2 linked regions of the Lytechinus pictus genome follow. The protein of the gene in region 2 binds, or shares a complex with, the protein of the main gene of each other region. Links are inferred from orthologs where the notes say so. Each region holds a gene or a part of one and is shown on either strand. Other genes may lie near its edges. The genes, in order: COP9 signalosome complex subunit 8-like and COP9 signalosome complex subunit 7b-like.

Region 1 (12,686 bases), on a different chromosome or scaffold from region 2:
AGAGAATTTGAGAGAGAGGTAGATGTTAGATGGATAGATAGATAAAGAATGAGAGAGACAGAGAAGATTAACAGATAGATAGATACTGCAGTTACATAGATAGATAGAGATAGATATAGATATAATTTGAGAGATAGATATATAGACGGATAGAGAGAAAAAGACAGACAGATGGATGGAGAGAGAGAGAGAATTTGAGAGACAGACAGACAGATGAATAGAGAGAATTCGAGAGATAGATAGACGGATAGAGAGAAACAGAGAGAGAGAGAAAAAGACAGACAGATGGATAGATAAAGAGAATTTGAGAGAGAGATATATATATATATATATATATATTTATATATTGGATTTTATTGCAATAAAAACTATCAAAATACAATCACAAGCAGTCAAAGACTGAAATAAGTGAATGTTTACATACAAATAGAATCATAACAAAATATAAAGTAAACATTATAAATAAATATCAAATACAATACAAATTCATACAGATGAAAAAGAAATGTATCATAAATAAATACAAAAGGCTAAAAGTACTACAAAGTGTCACCAAAGAAGAAAAAAGCGGAATGAAAGATTAAGAAGAAAGAGGTGAGAGAAGGGAAAGAAATTGGGATAAGACAAAGAGAAGGGAAAACAAGAGGTGGAATTTGAAAGAGAATAGGAGGCAACCTTCAGAAAAAAAACTCATTATGCAATACAAGACATTTAACAATGGTAACAAGTAAATAAAGTAGTAGTTGAATCGAATCGAGCACAAAAAAGGGAAAAGTAGAGCTGAGGAAATAGACTCCCGAAGGAAGTCGAAGCAGTGTTGATATTGCACATGAGTAGATTAATAGATGGATAGAGAGAAATAAAAGAGAGACAGATGGATAGATAGATAATTTGAGAGATAGATGTTAGATGGATAGATTGATAGACAGATAGATAGAGAATGAGAGAGACAGAGTAGATAGACAAATTAACAGATAGATATATCATGTAGTTCCATAGATTGATTTATAACATAGATAGTAGTGGATAGATATAAGGATAGATATAATATGAAAAAAAGTACTTATGTGTTTTATTTTTCAATATTTTAGCTATTATTCGTTTTCATTCATATAAACGATCATGTGCGATAAAGTAAAAAAAAAAATCATGAAGCCAACGTATATAGTTCAGCGGAACAACCAAAATACAGAGACTGAAGCTTTTGGTCTATAAGCTCAGCTGCATTAGCACGTATGTTCTAGGGATATCTTCAGTGCTGACTTTTGGATCGCGCGCCCAGCTGATTATGTAAACAAACGTACACGTAGACTCTTCACTAGTCGCTTTGTGGCTATTTTTCCGGAAAATGCCTTCGCCAGGGTGTAAAACGGAAACGCGCTTCCGGTACAATACTCTGTAGTCTCAGCTCATCGCATTGCGCTCATATAACGAACGATCTCATTGGTTGATTTAACGTCACTACACTAATTCATTTAACGTCATGACATTAAATCGTTAAACAGTAATTCGGAATTACGTCGTGTAGTAATTATTTACTACACGACGTAATTCTTTAGGTAGTGTAGTAATTGGAATTACTACACTACGTAATTATTTACGTCGTGTAGTAATTCGAATAACTACACGACCTTAATTATTTGATGTAGCGACACTAATTCATTTAACGTCATGACATTAATTCGTTGGGCAGTAATACGGAATTGCGTCGTGTAGTAAGTCGAATTACTACACTACGTAATTATTTACGTCGTGTAGTAATTCGAATTGCTACACGACGTAATTATTTACGTCGTGTAGTAAATTGAATTACGACACGACGTATATCCGTGTTTTTGACGGTCTCCTGCTTCCATACCCGCACTCGCACAACGCCCAGTTGGGAAGCAATTTTTTTTTTGTAATCCTGAGTTTTAGGGGACTAAATTTATGTGACCGCGTTCTTCATTAGAATTTTAAAACTGCCATTAATTAAAGGGACCTCTGTCCCTTTCCAGGACAGCGTGTATGCTTGTTGGGAGAGTACTTCTTCAAGTTTCAAATTGATAGCCGTTTCCCCGACTCCACCCCCCTACCCAGACTCCTGAGAGGCAGTAGACTAGAGGCACCCATGGAAACATTACATGCACTGTGCACATGGAAATCACAGGCACAACACATTTAATTTCATCATGGGATGGGCTGGCAATTATTCACATTAATCGTTTGCTAAATGACTTTAACTTCAAATACCAGTACTGCTATAGAACTTATTGAATGATTTGAAGCCACATTACTTATTCTTTCTTGAAATTCTACAGATTATCTTTCTTAATGTTTATGAGAGTTGGATTCCACTCAAGGAATACCAATTTCTTGCCTAAAGATTGCATGCAATTTATATTCATATCAAAGACACTACAAGGGAAAAACTAAGCACTGAAACAATTTTACATGCAAATTGATGCAAAGCATTACGAATATGAACCTTCTCCATGTTTTTATTTTCAATTATAGTGGGGGGTGCATATGAAACTCTTGCCCGAGCATCAAGAAAAATAATTTGGAGAAATCAAGAGAAAGATTAAAAAAAGCAGGAAATTGACTTCATATCATTTGGTAAGTTTTATGCAGTAGCCTAGTTTGAACCTACTAACAAAGTGATTTATAGAGAATAGGCATAAGAATGTCACGCAATCTCAGTCATAGAAGCGTTGCATGCATTGTGCCTGTGATTTTCTATGCACAGTGCATCCATGGGCAGTCTTTTCATTGTATAGACCTTGGTGTAGATCTACAGTTTGTTGACAAACGAACAAAGGCTTTATCAGCTGGTTTCGTTCAAGCCTCAAGGCACGTAGAATTTATATAGGCAATATATATATTTTTTTTAATTTATGAGTATGACTGCTATAGTGCTAGCCTAGACCGGTAAGACCCTGTCATAAATTTTGTCATATCTTTTGCTTGCATATTAGGATTATCATTATGCGCATTAAGGACGTTCCACAGTTATGTTTGTGCGCATTATGATCTGCGCATAGTTTACACTCTACGCGCTGACGTCACAATGGATGAACAGGTGATTAATTAGCTGCGGGTATGTGCTGATTTTTCTCATCTTCTGCACTTTAACTGCAGATCCGATGCGTTATTTCATGAAGCTAAAAAATGGAATTATTCCATGGACCATTCAAAAAAAGATTTTCTACAATTTCAAAATACTTTACTCTGCAGTGCTGCCAAGAATCACGAATATTACCCCGAGTTTGAATAAATGGTAGAGTGGTTTTGATTTTTTCTTCACATAGATACAAAGCATTCGGCGCATTTTTGGTGTTTTAAAAAGCACAATTGCTCTAATAAAAATACTGATAGTTTAAAAACAAGCATATGAACCCCTATTTTTTAATGCTGTTCCTCTTAGGTATACCTTCCTCTACAACTCTACAAATTTTGGTGAAAATGACATGGATTTTGAATAAGGTGCAGCATTTATTGTACTTTTGTAGTTTGTTACTGAAATTTCACATTTTTTAGATTGGGATTTTGTTATCTTTTACGCCATTTTTAAGAACTGACAGTGCTGTTAAACTTAAAATTGCAAACAAATAGCACTATAAATATATTCTCCATTCTAACGATACAATTATTAACTCTCTTGCGAAATTTGATGACTTTTTCATGTATTTTGACTGAGTAATACAGGTTTAAACTCATTGTAGTAATCTTGGGCGGTCTAAAAATGCCAAATTCTTTTGAATGCGCAATTCTTAAGAACATCAATTTGGGTGAACTTTGAAGTTCTATAGCAAAAAATCAAGCACATGGACCTATGTTAATTTTTGCATATTTCGAATATTAAGGTTCTAAAGTATCTATGTGTAAAGTTTGGTGAAAATGACATGGATTTCACTTTAACTGTGGAACGTCCTTAAGAGCCACATTTTTCGGGTTCACACAATAAAAGAGAAGCCAGAAGGGAGGAGAGAGAATAACTTAGATCGATTTGAGACGAGACAAAAGTCAAAATTATTTTTTATGAAAATGACAAAAGTTCATCAACATACCAATTTTGTCATAGATCTCTGAGAAAAGACAAAATATGGAGAAAAGACAATGTTCAGAATACTGCCCAACAATTAATACTGTTCTTTTTTTTCTTTTATTGTGCCTAATAGGCTGCCTATAGCCCTAAAAAAGTTACTTGCATCTAAATCCAGGCGAGGGCTTACACAATTTTCAATAATGTGGGACCACACTCACGACTATGCCGGTACCATTCACACAAGTCAACAAGGTTAAATAAAACTTAAACTAAAGAACCTAGCAACCCAGAAAGGTTTTTTTATTTCATTATTCTACTCTACAGTCTTATCTGGAAATTAAATAGTGGAAACCTACCTCTAATTCTTGCTGCTCGCACTGTTCAACTAGCGAAATCGCATCAAAAGAAGCCATTTTTGGTAGATGGACTAGGGATATCAGATTAAATCAGATACCCGGTACGTTGATTTAGCACAGAGGGTAACTAGACTCGGCTCAGGGACGGGACCTCCTTGGAAACTCTACACTCCCCTCTAAATAATATATTAACATGATTAAAAAGGTAGTCAACAAATGATATCATATGACTTAATCGAAAATATATCGTAATATTATATATTGTTTTTATCGATTTCATGTGTTTTAAACATTCTTTATATTCACTTTTATATTCTTCAATTAAAACTGAACCCCCAACCCTAAGCGATTGAAAAAAATGGAATGAGCCAGTTCACATGAAAGAAAAACAAAGAGAAGAGATAGCATGCGGCTCATCATCCATTCCTGTCTCCACAGAATTAAAACGGCCACTTGAGTTGACTCTCATTGATTTGATTTGGTGATACATATCCTTATTCGGAATTAATTCATGGGTAACTTGAATTATTTAACGATCATGACTTTAATGCAATTACAATTTTCTGACAATGTCAATCAATGATAATGATTTTTTGTACTTGAAACTTAGTTAGGTAAAGTTACGTTCCACAAATATTGCGTGCGATTCTCACACACATATATCGAACGTTAATTTCACGTTTCTGTGTGAGAGAGTATATGAATTGCACAGGAGCTGAATCGCCTGGTGTACGTTCAGTACATGCCCGTGTAATTGGTATGAATGTTCATACTTGGCCATTTTGTGTTCTGCCGGGGGGGGGGGGTGTAAGCTCAGTATAAATGTATGATATATTAGACCAAAAGCTTCGGTCTCTGTTCTTATGTTGGTTGTTCCGCTGAACAACACTGTTTTTTCCCACCCAAGGGTTCATTACATGCCGCCGCGCACAGAAAAATCAAGCCATTGAAGTCGTGTGTTGTGGACCCAAGAAGTGAGATCCCAGCAGGCGCGACCCACTAGTTAGAAATCCACTGCCAAACGCGGTTCGTGGTGCGAGGTTAGTATACTAATGCTAACCTCGCAATACGTGGGAGTGGTTTTTTCCCCTTATAACAGTAGAGGCGCACGGCCAATATGGGAGACTCTCTCCAATAGGGGAGACAATCTCCCACATTGGAGACTTGCTTTGCAAAAGGACAAAAGAAACAACACCAACAAAAGCATGATTTTTTCCACCCAAAATTTTGTCTCACTGAGGTCAGAAGCCCATTTGTTTTGTGTGTGATTGACAACAAAAATCCTTATCAAAACAAAAGTAGACGGTGAATATTTAAAGTAGACGGTGAAAAGGGGTAATTTTTCATGAGGAATCTGCTTATCACATTTTTATTTGCCGCCAAGGTAATCCTTTTGCAGCAAATGTAAACAAAGGAAATTCGACTCCAAAACTGGAGACCGTCTCTGAAATTGGATACCCAAATTCTTTACAAAAGTCTCTGATATTGGAGATAATCTCCCACATTGGAGACAGTCTCCAATATTGGCCGTGCGCCTCTACTGTATAATAAGTTTATTTTTCCCCGTTTTGGTGCATTTCAGGCCAAAACGGAATAGCAATATTTATTTTGGTCCAGTTCTTTTTATATATTTTTATGAAATAAAGACAAAAAACCTATGAGCCCCATCGGGGGGATTTTTCATTGTTTACCCCCTAATGGTGGCTGCACGATAGCGAGCCGTCTGTGTATGAGGAGAAAAAAAATGTTAAAAAACTCCTCGAAACAGACGGCTGCCAGCTGTCTAGATATGTGTGTCAGTGCCGCGGTTGAGACCCCAATTTTTAGCCTAAATTTCAGTTCCATAGCATCACCAATACACCATAACAACTTAAGCAAGGTTTAGTCTTTAGAGATCAAGTCTAGTATAGCTATCGTTAATCAGAACCGCAGTGCATTATTTATGGGATAGAAAAGGGGGCAAGTTAGCTAGCTCTGCAGACAGCTTGCTTGCCCCTTTTCCACCCCATAACGCATTGCGGTTCTGATTAGCGATAAAATAAACCTTATTCATTAGAGGCGCACGGCTAATTGGGAGTCTCCCATGATGAGTCATGACATTGTCATTGGGAGATTATCTCCAATATCAGAGACTTATGTAAAGAATTTGGGTATGCCCCTATCCAATGTCAGAGACAGTCTCCAGTTTGGGAGACCAATATCCTTTGTTTACATTTGCTGCTAAAGGATTACGGCAAATTAAAATGTGATAAGCAGATTCCGCCGGGGGGGCCACTTACAATTGACAAGTGGATACCATGCGCGACCAAAAAAACACGTAAAAAGGATGTCTTTTTCAAGATGGGGCACGTTACGTACGTAACGTAATAAGGGTGTCAAAAACACTAAAATGATGAAAAAAGGTATCTATTTTCGCTAGTAAAGCTGCGTGTTTAGGGTCAAATTTGCGAGGGTATAAAAAAATTAAGACACAAATGTTTTATAAAGGATGTACTTTTTGCCCCAAGAGTCAACATTACGTGTTTAGAGTTTACGTGTGGGGAGGAGGGGCTGTACACCCAATTATGTAGGTAAAGAGAAAACCGACGACCGACGTCGTCCGTGACATAACAATTGAAATATCGCTGTACTTGTCCGGGGTTCAATTCAGGGAATACTTGACAAGAGTATCGTTTTGTTAAATTTGTTTCCAATACTTGTTAAAGGTAGTTTCATACGTCAATACTCGTTAAGGGGTGCATTTTTGTCTCGCCTGCATAGCAGAGCGAGACTATAGGCGCCGCTTTTCCGATGGCGGCGGCGGCGTCAACATCAAATCTTAACCGAAGGTTAAGTTTTTGAAATGACATCATAACTTAGAAAGTATATGGACCTTGTTCATGAAACTTGGGCATAAGGTTAATCAAGTATTAGTGAACATCCTGCTCGAGTTTCAGGTCACATGACCAAGGTCAAAGGTCATTTAGGGTCAATGAACTTTGGTCAAGTTGGGGGTATTTGTTGAATTACTTTCATAACTTTGAAAATTTATGGATCTAGTCCATGAAACTTGGACACAAGGTTAATCAAGTATTAGTGAACATCCTGCCTGAGTTTCAGGTCACATGACCAAGGTCAAAGGTCATTTAGGGTCAATGAACTTTGGCCAAGTTGGGGGTATTTGTTGAATTACCATCATACATGTAACTTTAAAAATTTATGGATTTAGTTCATGAAACTTGGACATTAGGTAAATCAAGTACCACTGAATATCCTGTGCGAGTTTCAGGTCACATGACCATGGTCAATGGTCATTTGAGGTCAATGAACTTTGGCCGTGTTGGGGGTATGTTAAATTACCATTCTAGCTCTGAAAGTTTATGAATCTAGTTCATAAAACTTGGACATAAGAGTAATCAAGTATCACTGAACATCCCCTGTGAGTTTCAGGTCACAAAACCAAGTCAAAGGTCAGTTAAGGTCAATAAACTTAGGCCATGTTGGGGTAATTGTTGAAGTGCCATCATAACTTTGAAAGTTTATGGATATTAGAGTGAATGAAATGTGGACATGGGTGTAGTTGACAGTCTTAAGTCTCCGTTCAAATGTCATTTATGGTCAATGAACGTGGTATTATGTCATTATATGAATGATGTTTTTGTGAATGATTATTTTATAGTAGTTTTCAAAGTTAGCACTGCTGCTATATTAAATTGCGTAATGCAGGCGAGACTGCCAGAGGCGTTCCACTTGTTAGAATATGGAAAATATGTGTTTAGGGTGCTTTTCAAGACCCCATGGTCGCGCATGGTATTCACTCGTCAATGGAAGTGGCCCCCCGGGCAGATTCCTCATGAAAAATATAACCCCTTTTCACCGTCTATAAAAATTCACTGTCTACTTTTGAACGATTTTGTTGTCATCCACACTTAAAACAAATGGGCTTCTGTCTTCTGACATCAGTAGGGCCGTCTGCACCATGCAGCCCGAGTTTTCAAAATGGCGCGCTATTTCTGATCCGGCAAACTATCCCGATCTGAACAATCTCGATGAATTCTCAAGATTATTTGTAATGGAGACGCAATTATCACGCTAGTTTGCTATCCTGAGATTGCAATCCCAAGTCAACTTATTATTTGCAAAATGCAACTTAATGTTTGCAAAATAGCGCACTATTCACAAATTATCCTGCTAATTCGCAGGTGCAGACGCACTCAGGATTATTTATGCACGGCGTCAGACCATGATGCCTCACTCGAGCAGGAATCGCTCTTCTTGCGACGGTGGATTTCTTGAATCTCGAGATTAATCGCGAAGAGGGCCGATCGGGCTAAAATCTTGAGATTGAACAAACTCGGGCTGGTGCAGCACTGCCTAGTGAGAACATATTTTGGGTGGAAAAAATTATGCTTTTGTTGGTCTTGTTTCTTTTATTTTTTGCAAAGCAAGTCTTCAATATAGGAGGTTGTCTCCCATATTGGAGAGAGTCTCCCATGTTGGCCGTGCGCCTCTACTGCCAATTCAGAAAGCCAGGCCATACATGTAGATAGAAATTCCCATTTTTCCCGTTCCGAATTCCGGAGACCCTCAAATTCGTGATTTCTCGCTCCAGAGAGCGCCTGTCATGATTTACTCAGCCAGTCAGAGTGGCGAGCTCTATCGGCGCGGAGCCATTATGCCGGCCCGCTGAAGCTCCCCGCACCGGCCGCAGCTTGCTTGTGCTGGCTCAATACGAATCTAGCAAGACGCCCGCACGTTTTTTTACATACATGTAGCTGCTACCCAATTACGTCCGCCTACGATCTAATGAGTTCCAGAGACCCCTGTTTTAAGCTCATCCGGCCCGAAGGGCCAGATGAGCTTATGCCGTGGCGTCCATCGTCTGGCTTCTGTCTGTCGTCCGTCCACATTTTCAAAATGATGCTTCTTCGCCATTTCAATTCTGTTTGCTTTATATGAATAGCACTAGGTGGGGGATTCAAAACTTCTACACAGAATTTTGAAACTCATTAAATATTCTAAGTTATGCGCATTTTTCAAAATTCACAAAAAATGCTTCTTTATTTATTGACCGATTTTGAATTTTTTGCTTCCATCTGGTAGAGCTTTATCAGGTTCACCAAACTTCTACACAGAATTTAGAAATTTTGACTAGAACAATTTTTATGCTAATTTATGCAAAATTAATTTATGCATGTTTTTAAAAATTCACATAAAATGCTTCTTCTCTATTTGTTGACCGATTTTGATTTTTTTTCCTTCCATCTGGTAGAGCTTCATGAGGTTCACCAAACTTCTTCACAGAATTTTTAAATTTGGAGTAGAAAATTATTTATGCTAATTTATGCAAAATTCATAAATCACAGAAAATGCCTCTTCTTTATTTGTTGACTGAATTTCAAAATGCTTCTTCTTCGTCATGACAAAAACCTCCATTTGAGAATACTATACCCCAGTTTCTTTTTCACCAATTCTCTTCTCCAAGTACTATAAGCCCGGACTGTTCCAAGCAAGCCATTTAAGTATCAAAACACCTGTTTCTTGACCTCGGTCCGAAGATAACAAGTGCAACTTTTTTCTTCTTTCTTCTTTTCTTTCTTCCTTCCTTCCTTCCTTCCTTCCTTCCTTCCTTCCTTCCTTCCTTCCTTCCTTCCTTCCTTCTTTCCTTCTTTCTTTCTTTCTTTCTTTCTTTCTTTCTTTCTTTCTTTCTTTCTTTCTTTCTTTCTTTCTTTCTTTCTTTCTTTCTTTCTTTCTTTCTTTCTTTCTTTCTTTCTTTCTTTCTTTCCTTCCTTCTTTCCTTCTTTCCTTCCTTCTTTCCTTCTTTCCTTCTTTCCTTCCTTCTTTCCTTCTTTCCTTCTTTCCTTCTTTCTTTCTTTCTTTCTTTCCTTCTTTCTTTCTGTCTGGCTGTTTTTTTTTTCCAACGTTAGGACTGTATCAATGCGCGAGTGAACGGCATGCATCCCATATTTTCTTGCTGGACGGACAGAAACTATGGGATGCATCGCAGCGCTGAGGGCGGTCCCTGCATGCAAAGCATACCGTAATTTTTATTCGCTTATTTTCCTTATTTCGAGGTCGATTTTCTTCGTTCGAAATTGAAAAAGGACTAATATTGGATGTCTGAATACAATATGCCTTTGGAAACGTGATTAAATATCGAATACAATAATTTCATTCCGAAGGTCCTTCTACAGGCAGAGAAGTCTTACGTAATAGCACAGCTGTTGTTTATCATTTCGTCCTTGGCTTTACTGGCCTGTGGAGGTGAAATTGAGACAACGGGGATTACCTGGCCAAGATGGGTTTATCGGGGCTTGGAAATGTTCAAATGAAAAATGAGAGTTTCAAATGAAAAATGGGGTCTAAAACCGCAGTTTGCGATCCGAACTGCGGTGACGCCTCAAATGGGGTATTTTCGTAATGGTCATTTCAAGTCTGATTTCAATTCTGTTTGCTTTATATGATAGCATTAGGTGGGGGATTCAAAAATTCTACACAGAATTTTGAAACTCATTAAATATGCTAATTTATGCGTCTTTAAAAATTCACATAAAATGCTTCTTCTTTAATTGTTGACCGATTTTGATTCTTTTTTCTTCCATCTGGTAGAACTTCATGAGGTTCAACAAACTTTTACACAGAATTTTGAAATTTTCAGTAGAAAATTATTTATGCTAATTTATGCAAAATTTATTAATAAATCACAGAAAATGCCTCTTCTTAATTTGTTTTCTTTCATCTGGTAGAGCTGCATGAGGTTCACCAAACTTGTACACAAAAGTTTGAAATTTTGTCTAGAAAATTATTTATGCTAATTTATGCAAAGTTTATTCATAAATCACAAAAAACGTGTTTTCTTCTTCATTTATTGATCAATTTCAATTTTGTTGCTTTATATGATAGCTCAAGGTGGAGATACAAAATTTCAACACAGAATTTTGAAACTTACTCATTAAATATGCAAATTTATTCATATATTTTCAAAACTCACAAAAAATACTTATTTAATTTGTAGATTGATTTTGATTATTTTTGTTTCATCTGAGAGCTACATGAGGTTCAACAAGGTTCTACACAGAGTTTAGAAATTTTGACTAGAAAATTATTTATGCTTAATATATATGAAATTTATTCATAGATCACAAAAAATGCTTCTATGTCATTTCTTCATCAATTTCAATTCTATATTCTCAATTTATGTCACCAATGTAATTCACTACAGTGTAACTGGGCTGAAATTAAAATTGTGTTAAATTTCGTTGCGAGATGCCGGATGAGCTCCACATCATTGATGTGCTAGTTTATGTAGTCCGCTCCAGAGCATTGGCATACATGTACTTTAGTCCTGCCTAGTACAATGACGAGCAGTGACTAGATAGTGAATACCTCAATATATAATTTTTGTTCAGGTTGCATTTGAGTGTAGATATAACTAATGTTTATTTGAATAAGTCACCGTAAAATATTATCTGAAGAGGTTTCAGCTCAGTTTGAATCATGTACTAAGTTTTAGAAAAAAAAATGCATGGGGTATTCAGGTAAGTCTTCCATGTTACATGAAAGATAGAAGAAATTGGTAAACAGACAAATCTAGCTTTTTAAATACCAATCAAATCTACCACACTTTGCAGAAATTTGTGATAGTAATGATACATGCACCAGCGTCCTCTAATAGGAGAGTCTCCAATATTGAGTGTTCACCCGAAGGGACTAAGTATGATCATTAAATCCTGATATTTCTTTGTTCAAAGACCGCAGGGATGTGCTGAAGGATGATGAGGCCGCAGAGACCATGTCTGAAGCTGAGAGTCTAGACTCTTCTACTACAAGTCCACCCAAGAAAGAGAAAATACTGACAGGGAGAGGGGTCACACTGAGTATGCTCATGAGTGATGGGGTAGTTGAGGCTGGCAAAGATTGTCTCTCCATTGAATACCTTGTAAGTATATAGCCTAAAGTGGATACTCTGAAATTCCTTTATCCAAGGCAACACAATATGATTTTGTTTCTTTTTATCTCATTAAATTTTTAGACACTAGCTTTTTTGGAGGCATCATAGTCTAGTGGTTAGACTCTTGTCTTTCAATCTGAGGGACGCGGGTTCGATTCCCAAGAAATTTACCCACATTGTGCTGCACTCAGCTCAGCCCAGGTGAGGTGAATGGGTACCCGGTAGGAAGAAATTCCTTGAATGCTTGAGCGCCTATATGGTGGCTCGGCTACAGCCAGGGTAATAATATTATGATACCAAATGTAAAGCGCAGTAGAGTATATTAATATAGTTGCTGCGCTATATAATTGGTCCATATTATTAATTTTTTTAA
Region 2 (12,010 bases):
CAGACCAACAAAAGTTTTTGAAAAATCGGACAAATAATGAAAAAGTTATGAGCATTTGAATATTGTGATCACTAATGCTATGGAGATCCTCATATTGGCAATGCGACAAAGATGTGTGATGTCACTTGTGAAAAACTCTCCCCATTACTTAAGTTTATATTTCACTTAAACTGCCTCTTTTATCACATCTATCAGTAGATCATGTGTTCTTTCTATAGGAGGGCATGTGATACAGATTTTTAAAGAATACATCATGGATAAATAGTTTGTATCACCATAAGAAAAAGCAAAAAGACACATTTTGGGGGTATTTTATAGTCCATCAAAGGGAAAGTTGTTTACATGTGACATCACACATCCTTGTCGCATTGCCAATGGGAGGATCTCCATAGCATTAATGATTGCAATATTCAAATGCTCATAACTTTCTCATTATTTGTCCGATTTTTCTCAAACTTTCTTTGTTCTTATTCTATGATTTTTCTGTTTCGACACAAGCCTAATTGTTCCAAAGGTTTCATTCCTCTTTAAGGACTCGAATGAAGAATTCAAAGGGGCTAGGTTATTTTTGAAAAAAAAGGCACCTAAAAGGAAAGGCAGAGCTCACTTGAGGGGGCATCCGATGCCAATAAGAAAGGCCTCAATAGTAAAATATACTTTTTAATGTGAGACATGCACCTGGTTCCCGCAGGGCACCAAGGCTCAATGAAACTCGGTATAACACACATTATATCCTACATAAATTAATTCCTGTATGCTGATTGGTGTAAATAGCATCATGTGACCAAACATATTCTCACTATTTTGCGATGATGTTGAATATGAAATGCCCACTGAAGAGAATTTACTATTTCGTAAATTCTCTTCAGTGGGCGTTTCATTTTCAATTTGGGAAAAGTGCACTCTTCCTTGATTTACGTCACAGATCGCGCAATCTCTCGGGCACAGGCACAAATGCGTGTTCCGCTGAGTGCGTAGCTTCATGAAAAGTAGGTCAGTCAGCGCAGCGCGTTATCCATATTTTGGTTCAGAATTTAAAAAAGATGAAACTACGTGTACAAGAACAAGATTATCAAGATCTGTTCTAACTTATTAAATGTAGGATATAAAATAAATATACCAGGCCTTTATTTCGAAAGAATAGAGGGAATTATTAATCCTCGGTTGTACTGGAAAAATAGTACTGCCAGTCCACCAATAATTTACGCTGTACATACTAAAAAGCCTGTGATATTATATGTTCATGTAGCTGACATACTGTGTATATTTAGATTCTCAATGGTTATCATTTTGAATGCTTACAAAAACCTAATTCATTGAATAATTGCTATCAAATTTCATTAAATTTCTTTCCTACTGTGTTTATCTTACAGTTCAGCAGGTGCCATCTCTGCGACCTTTGACCCTGCCCTCACGATACCGGCGGACGATTCTGATGACGAGTCGAGTGAGTCCGAGCTGAGCGGAGATGACGTGTTCAGTCGAGGTTCAAACAGAGGATCGAACAGGAGATCGAGGAGAAGAGGGAGCATTGATTCGGAACATCAAGATTCTTCCTCATGGCTCTCATGGTGTTCATTAATATAAAATCATTGTGGTTTGGTCATCTCTTCCTTGTCTCAAATACTCATATTGGAAATGGCATTATTGGGGTGGGGTAGCGTAGGAAGGATGACAGGCGATTTCACCCTCATCCCAGCCTATTTAATCCCCAAAACTCCCAAATGGAATGCTTTCATTTGGGTTCAACCGTCTTTTCTTGAGTCGCCCCAAGATCTGCCACAGACAGTATTGTTCTAACAATACAGCAGAATTATGATAGTTGCATTCACGGCATAATAACTTGTGCAAAATATACAGCCCTTAAAATGAATGAAATGGCACCCCCGGAATCCAGTATTCGCCCCAATGTGAATATAAACGTAGCCCCCCCCCCCCCCCCCCGGAATTATTTCCTACCCTCGTGTGTGTGTGTGTGGGGGGGGGGGAGAGGGGGTTGATAACACACTGTTTTGTTGACATTGGTCATAAATGTGTGTACTTCAGAATTATGGATGGCCATATGCTATTTTCATATATAAAGAGATCTCATATAATGCATTCATGATAGGGAGTGGTATTGACAACCTCGGTGTCATTTTTAGTTTAATAACGAGCTAGATGCAGTTTAAATGAAATAGGAACATATAGGTGTATTAACATGAGCGAGCTGCTTTAGAATGATGCATTAATATTACATTTACTAAGTAAACTTCCAGCCAATGTGTAGATAGGTCACAGATGATTAATCTGTTTGATACACATAGCAATACCAGTATTATGTCCAATATAAATGTAATCTTATCCTGATTGCTGTTTTGAGAAGTAAGATGAAAAATTGGAATGTATTGTGCAAGTATTTCTTTATAGACTTTATGTAAATATGGATGTAAATAGCTGCAAAGTTTATCAATTATGAAATTATATTATTGGCTTGAGAGCAAGAAAGGAGTGTAAAGCTTTGATGTCTATCAATATTGAGGTGCATCTTTTGATGTTCAATATTCTTTAGCTAAATTTGTGAGATATTTCCTATTTTTGAGCAAGCGCCATGAGCGCCCAGCTGAGGTGGATACCGGCGCTATACAAGAAACCATCATCATTAAATATATTTATCATTTCTTATTTCCAGTGATCTGGGGCCAAATTCATATTACTTACATCTCTGGTAACAGTCAGTCCGCAAGCCCCTGTGTTAATGAGCAAATGAGCAAGATTTATCCAAGTCCTCTCGTGGCTGAATTCATGTCCCTGCAAAATCTCGTGAATTGTGAGACTTTCTTTCTCAAAGAATTTAACCACTTTCTCCTTGAGTAATATTGATTATTTTTGTACCATGGGCAAGAGTAAATGTTACCCTTTTATATTGGTCATTTCTTTTGAATGAAATATTTTGATAAATAAGTGAATTTTTCACCTGAAAAGATGCATCAAACAGAATTTTCTTCATCTGTTTTCACTTGCAAATTGTGCAACATTTTGTGTTTTAGGCACCAACATTATTTATATCATCAGAAAGCTCAAACTCTGTACTTTCTTACAATGTCACTCGTGATATGTGGCATCTTTTAGATGGGTCAGCAGCCAGTTATTTCCATCAAGATGCAAGACGAGATTTCTGAAATTTCTGAGTAACATAAAATCCAGAGTTCTGATTGGCTGAATATTGTTTTCAAAACAAACAGGCGCGAGTAATTTGAAGAGATTACCACATGGTGAGTGTGACCTTGCAGAGGCCCAGTGTGGGGAACATTGGAATTTGCGTGGGTGTGTGGTCTATGACCAATCAGAGCGCAGTATTCTTGTTTTTGAGCTGCAAAATGTACTTGGCCTATGAAAAGCTGGCTGCTGACCCATCTAACATACATCTTCTTATAAAAATTATATCATATTAAAGCTTAGATCTTCAGCTTTATCATGATTTAAAAATCATTTGTGCCTAAACAGAAATTAAGTGTGAAAACAACAACTTTTGTTGCATGAAAACCATTATTTCATGTTTTAGATCAAAAGTTTCCCCTATATTACAACATTCTTTTAAAAATCCAAACACATGACCTAAAAGAAAGATTCTTCTTCTTTACAAAGATACCAAAAACATGAAATTTTGTCAATATTTAGAGCAGCAATGGCCGAATAAAAAGAGGTGTTTTGGTTCGCACCAAGCTCATTAACTATGCAAAAACCCTCTTGTCATGAATATCACTTGGATAAAAGAAGCTACTTTTTCAGGGCTTGCGGACTGACTGTAACATTGTCATTGTAACTACCATGGAAACCTTGAATGTGATTGGCTTCTGAGCCATGTTACCATTCCTTCATTGAAAAAATAATGGTAAAAGTTGTAACTATATGAATTAGGCCCCTGCCCCCCTGGATGTGTTTGTATTTCCGAATTTCAGCTGAAGTTTGACATTTTTCCAGACATTTACACAGAACTTAGTCTATAAGTGTATGAACACTGACCAAGAATCTTCATTCAAAATACATTGTTTGACAGACTACACAATTTTGATTTGAGGGGCATTTACTCTTTCGGCTATGTTCATCTAGCGCTGCGCAGTGGCTGCTGGGCCCATGATCAATTGGCCAAAACGAATTTTTAGAGCGTTTCTATATCAGATTTATATATCGAATGAGAAAAATATGGATATGGAAATATATAAATACCATTGTTTCTTTCTTTAATAGGTCATCATTTTCAGATCTCCCTACATTTGAAATAATAAAAGTAATAAGTTTCATTATCTGTCGTATTTTTCCCCTTTGTGTTCCTTTGGAATTACAAGTACGTCTTCCCAAATCTTATCTCTTGTGACCAAATTAACCTGTTTGAATAAGGGCAACATTTCACTTTGAAGAAGTGAATAACACACATGCTGTGTGTATAAATGTGGCCAGAAAAATTGCTTTGACTTGATCATTTTCAGCTTGTGACATCACAATGGGTTATCGCGTTGGGTCGAGCGAATCCTGACCTTAATTCCAAAAACGTTGGGTCCAGTTTACCTGACCATTTGAGAATTTGGCTATAATTTTCACAAAACATCGGGTAAATTGGTCCCGACCTGTCAGGAATTTAGGGGGGGGGGCCTTTTCTCAAATGGGCGGGTAAACTGGACCCCATGTGGTGGGAATTTAGGCGGTCCCTTTCTCGAATGGTCGAGTTATGCGATTACCGACCTGTCACGATAACCCTATGATTTTGTGATTCATAGGAGGTTGAACTACATGAAGACTTTATTTTCCATATGAATTCTATTCTGTAATTCCCTCCGAGAATTATTAAATTCAGAATTTTTTTTTTGAAAATGCCCCCTCTAATTACAGTACTTTGAATAAGGCATTTTAAAATGTCATTGTGTATTCAATTGTCTTTATATGGATATATTATATTGGTGTTTTGTAGACCAAATTAGCATTCTGTCTTATTTGCGCTGAAAATGTGCCGTGAAATGTGCCATCATTTATAATCATTGTAAATTATGAAATATATTAAATATCGAATGTGCAATTTGTGTTTGAACTTGTTACTAGACTGACTTTTAATTATCGTAGAGAAGGGGGGGGGGGGTGACTGAGGAAAGAGGGGAGGGGTGGAAAAAGAGAAATGGAAGAAAAAGGATGTGGGAGGAAAGGAAATAGTAGGAGAAGCTTAGAAGAAGATTAGTAGAAAGGATCGAGAAAAGGGAAGAAGTAAAGAAATGTGAGAAGTCGAGAATGGAGAGGAGGAAAGGAATGAAAAGATATGAAAGTGGAGAAGTAGAAGAGAATGAAATGGAGAGTGCATGATGAGGAGTGGAATGAAATGGAAGAAATGAAGAGAGGTGAAGAAAGGAGAATGAAATTGAGGAAAGGAGAAATAGAAGAAAAAGAGGATATGAATAAAGAAAAGGAAGAAAAGGAGGACAAGCAAAAACAGAGGAAAATACTATTGTTTTAATCGATCAAGGGCTGGGGTATATCCTACTTTGAGAAAGATTTCAATGACTTGAATGGGTATGTGATCTTATAGAGTAACAGGATCCATTTGCTTCACCTATATCAACTTGTCTGTTTTTTCTTTTTCCTCTTACAGCAAGTTTTTATTTGGGTTGGATTTCTAGTAGTAGACTAGCTGATGTAGGAAGCTCAGAAAGTAAAGCTATCGAGAGGGTGGAGGGCATAGGAAGCGAGAGAGGTAATTAAAGGAGGAAACGATGGAGGAGAGGGGGTAACAAGGGGGGGGGGGTGGAGGCCGTAGATAATGGAGGAGGATCAGGCAAGGAGCCCCATAGGCCTGGGAAGGAGGAAGAAGAGAAGGGGGGGGGCAGGAATTAGGGGCGGGATCAGGAAGAGTGTGGACAAATTGAGGGGAAAAAATATTAGGCTAGGATGATGAGAAGCGCGGAGCTAGAGGAGGCCACATGTTTTGGTTTAATTACTGACTACTAGTACCGTACTTATGTGAAGTTGGACGAACTTTCAAGTGGTATACGAGATGTAGCCAAATCTGGCCATCCGATGATACTAGTGATAGATCACCAAGCAAAATATATGCACGGTTCAGATGCGCATGCGTGCATCCATTAAGATAAGAAGTGCAGCTGTGCCTAGTGTAGCGGATTCTGTCACTGTAAGTTGGTCATTGTTTGCGTTTTAGTTTCCAAAGTAAATAAATAAAAAAAAACATTCTTAATTCTTTAAGGTGAATAAAGATCGATTTATTATTTTAAATGTAATTCTCATACTCTAGAGTCATGTTTTGCTTGTAAAACACGAACGACATAAACCTATCGTTTAGTACAGTCCCATACGCGTATATTTTTGTGGTAAATTCGGCCAGTTTTTTTAAAGAATTTTTTTTGGGGGGCCATTACTTACTAGGCCCACCAATTACGAAGCAAGTCCGACCGACGTCCTGCTCTTCTCCGCACAGCTGATTGGGACGTGGGGTATATCTCAAATCTTTGTCTGAGCGAAATCGCCTCTTAATTCGGACCGTACGCTGGGGCCGCGGCACTCTAGGCGACACCCCAATACTTACCCGTGCTAATAAACTGGGACTCCACTCACGCGCATTTGGGCCGCCCTAGCTTAGAACTAAGCAATATTATCTAGAAATTGTTACATTGTAGTCATGAAATATGTTCTATTAAATAAATTGATAATGTTTAATCGGTACTCACCGGTTCTTTTGTTGCATTTTCAGACCATTTCTCACAATTCTTCGTAAATATCTGCGGCAAATTTTGTCGCCATAGACAGCTTAACATCCATCTTTATTGATAAATGGAGCGCCCTTTACGATAGTTGTTAATGCCGCGGAGAAATCGTTAGGCATTTTGGCCTGTGTTCAAGGCGTAGCTGTTCTATTTTTTTTTATAGGTATGAGATCGAAATCACAGCGAGTATTTACACTCTTCCATAATGATTCCGAAAGGGAGGCGCAACACCCCCCACCCACAGGGGCGCAAATTCCAGGGGGACATGTCCCCCTCACCTAGAATAGTAGGGGGACACATTATGAAATGTCATCCCCCTACTATTTTGGGTCTTTTCATTCAAAATCGAAATAAAATATGTATTTTGGAAGAGACGATCTTACTTTTGGGGTGCCCTTTTTTTTTGCTTGTTTGCTTATCAAATTTCTTTTGGTCAAGATGACCTTCTTTTTGGGGTGATAAACCTTCTTTTTTGTTTTTGTTTGTTTGTTTTTTTCTTGTCAAATTTTCCAGCCCCTGGTCCCGGCTACCTTTAGGGAGAGATTTCCGCCCTTGCCTAACAGTACACTTGATATTGTTTGCGAATCTGCGTGGGCGTCGGGGGCTGGGGGATGAGGAAAAGCGGTGAGACGAGAAAAAAAAATAGAAGGAAAAAGAGGACAGAAAAAAAAGTGAACGAAAGAAAAATTAATGGAAAATAAAAGGGAGGAGAAAATAGTGAGAAAAGTGATGGGTAGGTCGAGATTTTATGTGTCCGTGCAAAAAGAAATGAGCAGAGGTTGAGATGTTGTCTGTTTGGGCAAATGTCTGTCTGTTTGTTGGACTGGCGCCTGTTGCAAAAATTATTAAGCTGATGGAATCAGAAAGTTCCAACTGCTTCATGTCATACCGACAGTGACAGGATTAAGCGGTTGTATATATAAATCACGCTCTAAAACTGTGTTCTTTATTAAAAAGTTGTCCTTCATATCCATTTTCGCAAAAGAATATCAAGTTTTCAATTAATTGTCTATAGTTATCCTGTTTATGATAAAAATACTTAGAAATTGGGTTAGGTTAGGGTTATCAAATTATCGGGGCAGAAAATATATTTTTTCAGTTCGCGCGTCGAGCTGGCATTAGTGATCAGTGAGATTATGTTTTTAATGACATTCATTCTATTCACAGCAATATATTATTAAACATAGCCGCATGAATTATAGATAGGTCTATAGTTATCAGGTGAATAATTTACCGCTACACACTGATCATGCGGATACTGTTTTGTAAAGGGGAATTTCACCTTGATAAAAAGATTGTGAAAATATAGGCCAAAGAAAAATAATTTCAAAACATAGGTGAAGGTGTTATTAAAAAAAAATGGAGTTAGTAGAATTTCGAATGCTTGATTTGTGACGTCATAAACGAACAGTTGCTCAATATTCTATGTAATACAAAATGCAAAAATTTCCCATTTTTAATGGACCGTAATGACCCACTTTTTTCTTTTTGGAGAGAGTATGAAGTTATCTATTGACATACTGAATGTACAATAAAAGTCATTATCACGTATTTCTTGACATTTCATTTACTTTTTACCATAATTATATCCGATATAGCTGCTCGCAAAGGCCTACGCCGTCACAAATAATTATTTAAAAAATCTCACCTTTAATTATTTTTTGGTGGGGGATGGATTTTTCCTGAACGCATACCAATTTTTCAAATTATTTTTTCTGCTATTTTCATAATTAACTTTAAATAAATTCACCTATGCACTACTTAATTTTTTCAAAGACAAAATAACAAAATTACATCTAGTCTTCATCATCACCATCATCACCAACTTCATTCTCATCATAATCACCACTACCACCATCATTATCATCATCATCATCATCATCATCATCATCATCATCACCGCCACCATCACCACCACCATCATCATCACCAAGATAATTTTCATCATCATCATCTTTCTTTTTTTTTCTTTTTTTTTCCCCTTCCCTTCTTCTTTTTTTCCTTCCTATTTTCCTCCCTTTTTAGAGGGGCACACCACCAAATAAATATGTTTGTTGTTGTTGTATATAAGTTGGCGGATGCCTCATGAAATGAAATAAAAGAGAAAATAAGGAAATGGAAAAAGTAAGAAGAAGGATAAGAAGAAAAAAAGAAAGCCAAACAAACAAGACAAAATAATATCAAAATTTTGTAATAAAGTCAGTCTGTTTAATAATTATGTTTTCAATGAAATGAGACATAAAAGAATTGAAACAAGTAAAAAGGGCTACATCATAGTTAAAAGAAATAGAGGGAAGCTCCGAGACAATAAAAAGTGTTTAAAAAATCAGAAAAGACTTTGAAACACTCTGAACACGAGTATGATATATAAAAAAATTGGGAATAAGCGAGGACAAGTAGGTGAGGGACCCCCCCCCCCTCTCTCTCTAGTTATTTACTCAAACTCGCATATACAAGAGAAGAAATTCTTACTAATCAAAATATTGTGAGCAAAAAGCATGAGCTGACATTTTTTTTAATATTCAAAACTGATAGAGAGACACATTTTGAACAATTCATGAAACATAATAATCATTCATTATAGTTACCAATCGGATTGCGACAAGATCTGAGAATTAGAAATTCATTAAAAGCATAAAATTGTATAACATTAAAATAAGACGGGCGCAACGCATGAGCTAAAGCTTTATATACCAATTAAAAATTTGGACATTTTTAGCGCTTTCGGTAGTCATGAAAAAGATTCATATTTCATGAAAGCTCAAATCCCGAGGAGGAATATTTTTTATTAATTGACTTAAAAAAGGCTGTTCTAATTAAGCCCCATTTAATATTTGATTACAAGTCTCGTTAAACAGTAAAAGAGGAAAAAATAAAGCATATTGTGTTCCTCAATTCTCTTTCTCTTTAACCCTATTTTTTTTTTTTTTTTTTTTTTTTTTTTTTTTTTGGGGAGGTATTTTGGTAAAAAAAAAAGAGAAAAAAACGATAATTGCTGGCTAGTGGGTGTATAGTGGTAGGGACACCCCACCCCCACCCCCCCCCCCGTAGTTACACAAACATGGGACCAAATGATCCTACTTGTTCCAAGGCGAAACTTGTGCAATCAATTAAATGTTATTTTTGAGAAAATTAAAGCTTGCGCTGTTTAAATTCAATCTCTTTCACCTAAATTTGCGATGAATGCTAGTATTATGAAATATATAATTATCAACGTCTGGCGAAAAGAATAACCAACCGATCAGCTGACGAGAACGCGTATCACGTGATCTGCATATCAGCTTCGATCGCGAGTCAGAAGTGAAGAGTAACTGGCAATAAAATCTGGAAAAAGTCGTCAAAATGTAAGTTCCCCTTCATTTCTTTCAATTTTTTTTTATTGCTAACAATGCTTTAACTTTCTTAAACAAAAATTTAATGAATAGACAGTACGATAGCTCGTACTTGTGTTATAATACACAAATAATCATCTTCACAAAGATTTCTGACACAAAATACTACAGATGTCGCCTATGAGGTCCATACATGTAATGTTTGGACCTCATTGGTACTAGGAGTGGGGCCGCGGCACTCTAGGCGACACCCCAATACTTACCCGTGCTAATAAACTGGGACTCCACTCACGCGCGTTTGGGCCTCCCTAGCTTAGAACTAAGCACTAATATCACCTTAAAAACTAAATCTACAAGGTATGTATAATCTATTTACAACTTTAATAATGTTTAATCGGTACTCACCGGTTCTTTTGTTGCATTTTCAGACCATTTCTCACAATTCTTCGTAAATATTTGCGGCAAATTTTGTCACCATAGACAGCTTAGCATCCATCTTTATTGATAAATGGAGCGCCCTTTACGATAGTTGTTAATGCCGCGGAGAAATCGTTAGGCATTTTGGCCTGTGTTCAAGGCGTTCTTTCTGTTTTATTTTTTATATTGAAGATTGTGCATTTGTTGAATAGCGCCGTCTACGTCAGGTATGAGATCGAGTGTATAAATACACTCTTCCAAAATAATTATGATTCCGACCTGGCGCTGTTTAACTTCAATCTCTTTCACCTAAATTAGCGATGAATGCTAGCATTATAAAATATATATTATTAACGTCTGACGAAAAGAATAACCAACCGATCAGCTGACGAGAACGCAAATCACGTGATCTTCATATCAGCTTCGATCGCGAGTCAGAAGAGAAGAGCAGCTGCCCAGAAAATCAGGAAAAAGCCGTGAAAATGTAAGTTCCCCTTCATTTCTTTCATTTTTTGTTGTTGCTAACGATGCATTTACACTATAAAATTATAATTTAAATAAGAGAAAGGAATATAGCTTGTACTTGTGATATAATGTATAAATATCCTGTTCTCAGAGATTTCTAACCAAAAATACTACTGATGTCGCCTATGAGGTCCATACATGTAATGTTGGACCTCATTGGTACTAGGAGTGGGGCCGCGGAACGGTTTTCAAACTCAAGTAAAAGTGGGGGGGCTGACCATGCTAAAAATCACAATCATATGGTCATTTTTACGTTTTTGTACACGGTTTTGGAAAAAAGTGGCGGGGCTGAAGCCCCCCCAGCCCCCCCCGCTTCCGCGGCCCCTGGTACGAACCGTGAGCCGAGTGTGCAGCTGCAATAGTGCAAAGGCCAAAGCCGGGTCATCTTCTGGTCTTGTGTAGCCTAGCCAGGCGGCTTCTTGAGAGTAAAAATCATTTACTAACGTAGGCTTACTCAATGAAGCCAGGGAGTCCTTCCTATTCACCTACACGAAGGACCCCAAAACCTGAAACTTTCACCCCCGAGATTTCTACTTTCCTTCTAAAAGATCTAGCTCTAAATCATGTACATGGGATAAAACTTCATTTCCGACATTTCTATGCTCTCGTTGTTATTTTTAAACAAGAATTCATCAAAAAAATGAAAAAATATTGTGAAAAGACGGAAGAGACTTGCCCGATGTTTACGCCGCCATCTTGTTTCTTATTGTAGTTCCCCAACGTTACGCGATGCTCGCGTCCGTAACGTTGACGCTGCCCGAGTGCCTGAAATGGGACCCTTTTCAACGTTTTTTCTGGACGCGGGTGCGTAACAGGCCATGTGAAAAAGTGACCCCCCGCGGGGTGCTATCTTTTGGCCGATCAAAGCAAATTAAAACCATGAGTGTTTTGATTTTTCAGCTATTGTTACTGCAAAACTGTGTAATGGATCAGATTTGTGAAGTAGATCATGTTTTAAATCTCATTAATAGCCAAATTCAATTATAACTATTG

What was found.
Region 1: COP9 signalosome complex subunit 7b-like (region 2) and COP9 signalosome complex subunit 8-like share a complex: the UniProt entries of both Drosophila melanogaster proteins name them as parts of the CSN complex. The link is inferred for Lytechinus pictus from reciprocal best matches to the Drosophila melanogaster genes CSN7 and CSN8.

Annotation. Positions count from the first base shown.
Region 1 is NC_087245.1:15,642,276-15,654,961, reverse strand, and holds the start of COP9 signalosome complex subunit 8-like, read right to left. Parts: upstream 4,820-12,686; 5' UTR 4,441-4,819; coding exon 4,384-4,440; intron 1-4,383. Other genes in the region: MPN domain-containing protein-like, read left to right, coding at 4,895-4,898, 12,114-12,301. UniProt on the Drosophila melanogaster protein: Probable component of the COP9 signalosome complex (CSN), a complex involved in various cellular and developmental processes.
Region 2 is NC_087258.1:2,859,416-2,871,425, forward strand, and holds the start of COP9 signalosome complex subunit 7b-like, read left to right. Parts: upstream 1-5,869; 5' UTR 5,870-6,088; coding exon 6,089-6,154; intron 6,155-12,010. Other genes in the region: uncharacterized protein LOC129276772, read left to right, coding at 1,374-1,587. UniProt on the Drosophila melanogaster protein: Component of the COP9 signalosome complex (CSN), a complex involved in various cellular and developmental processes.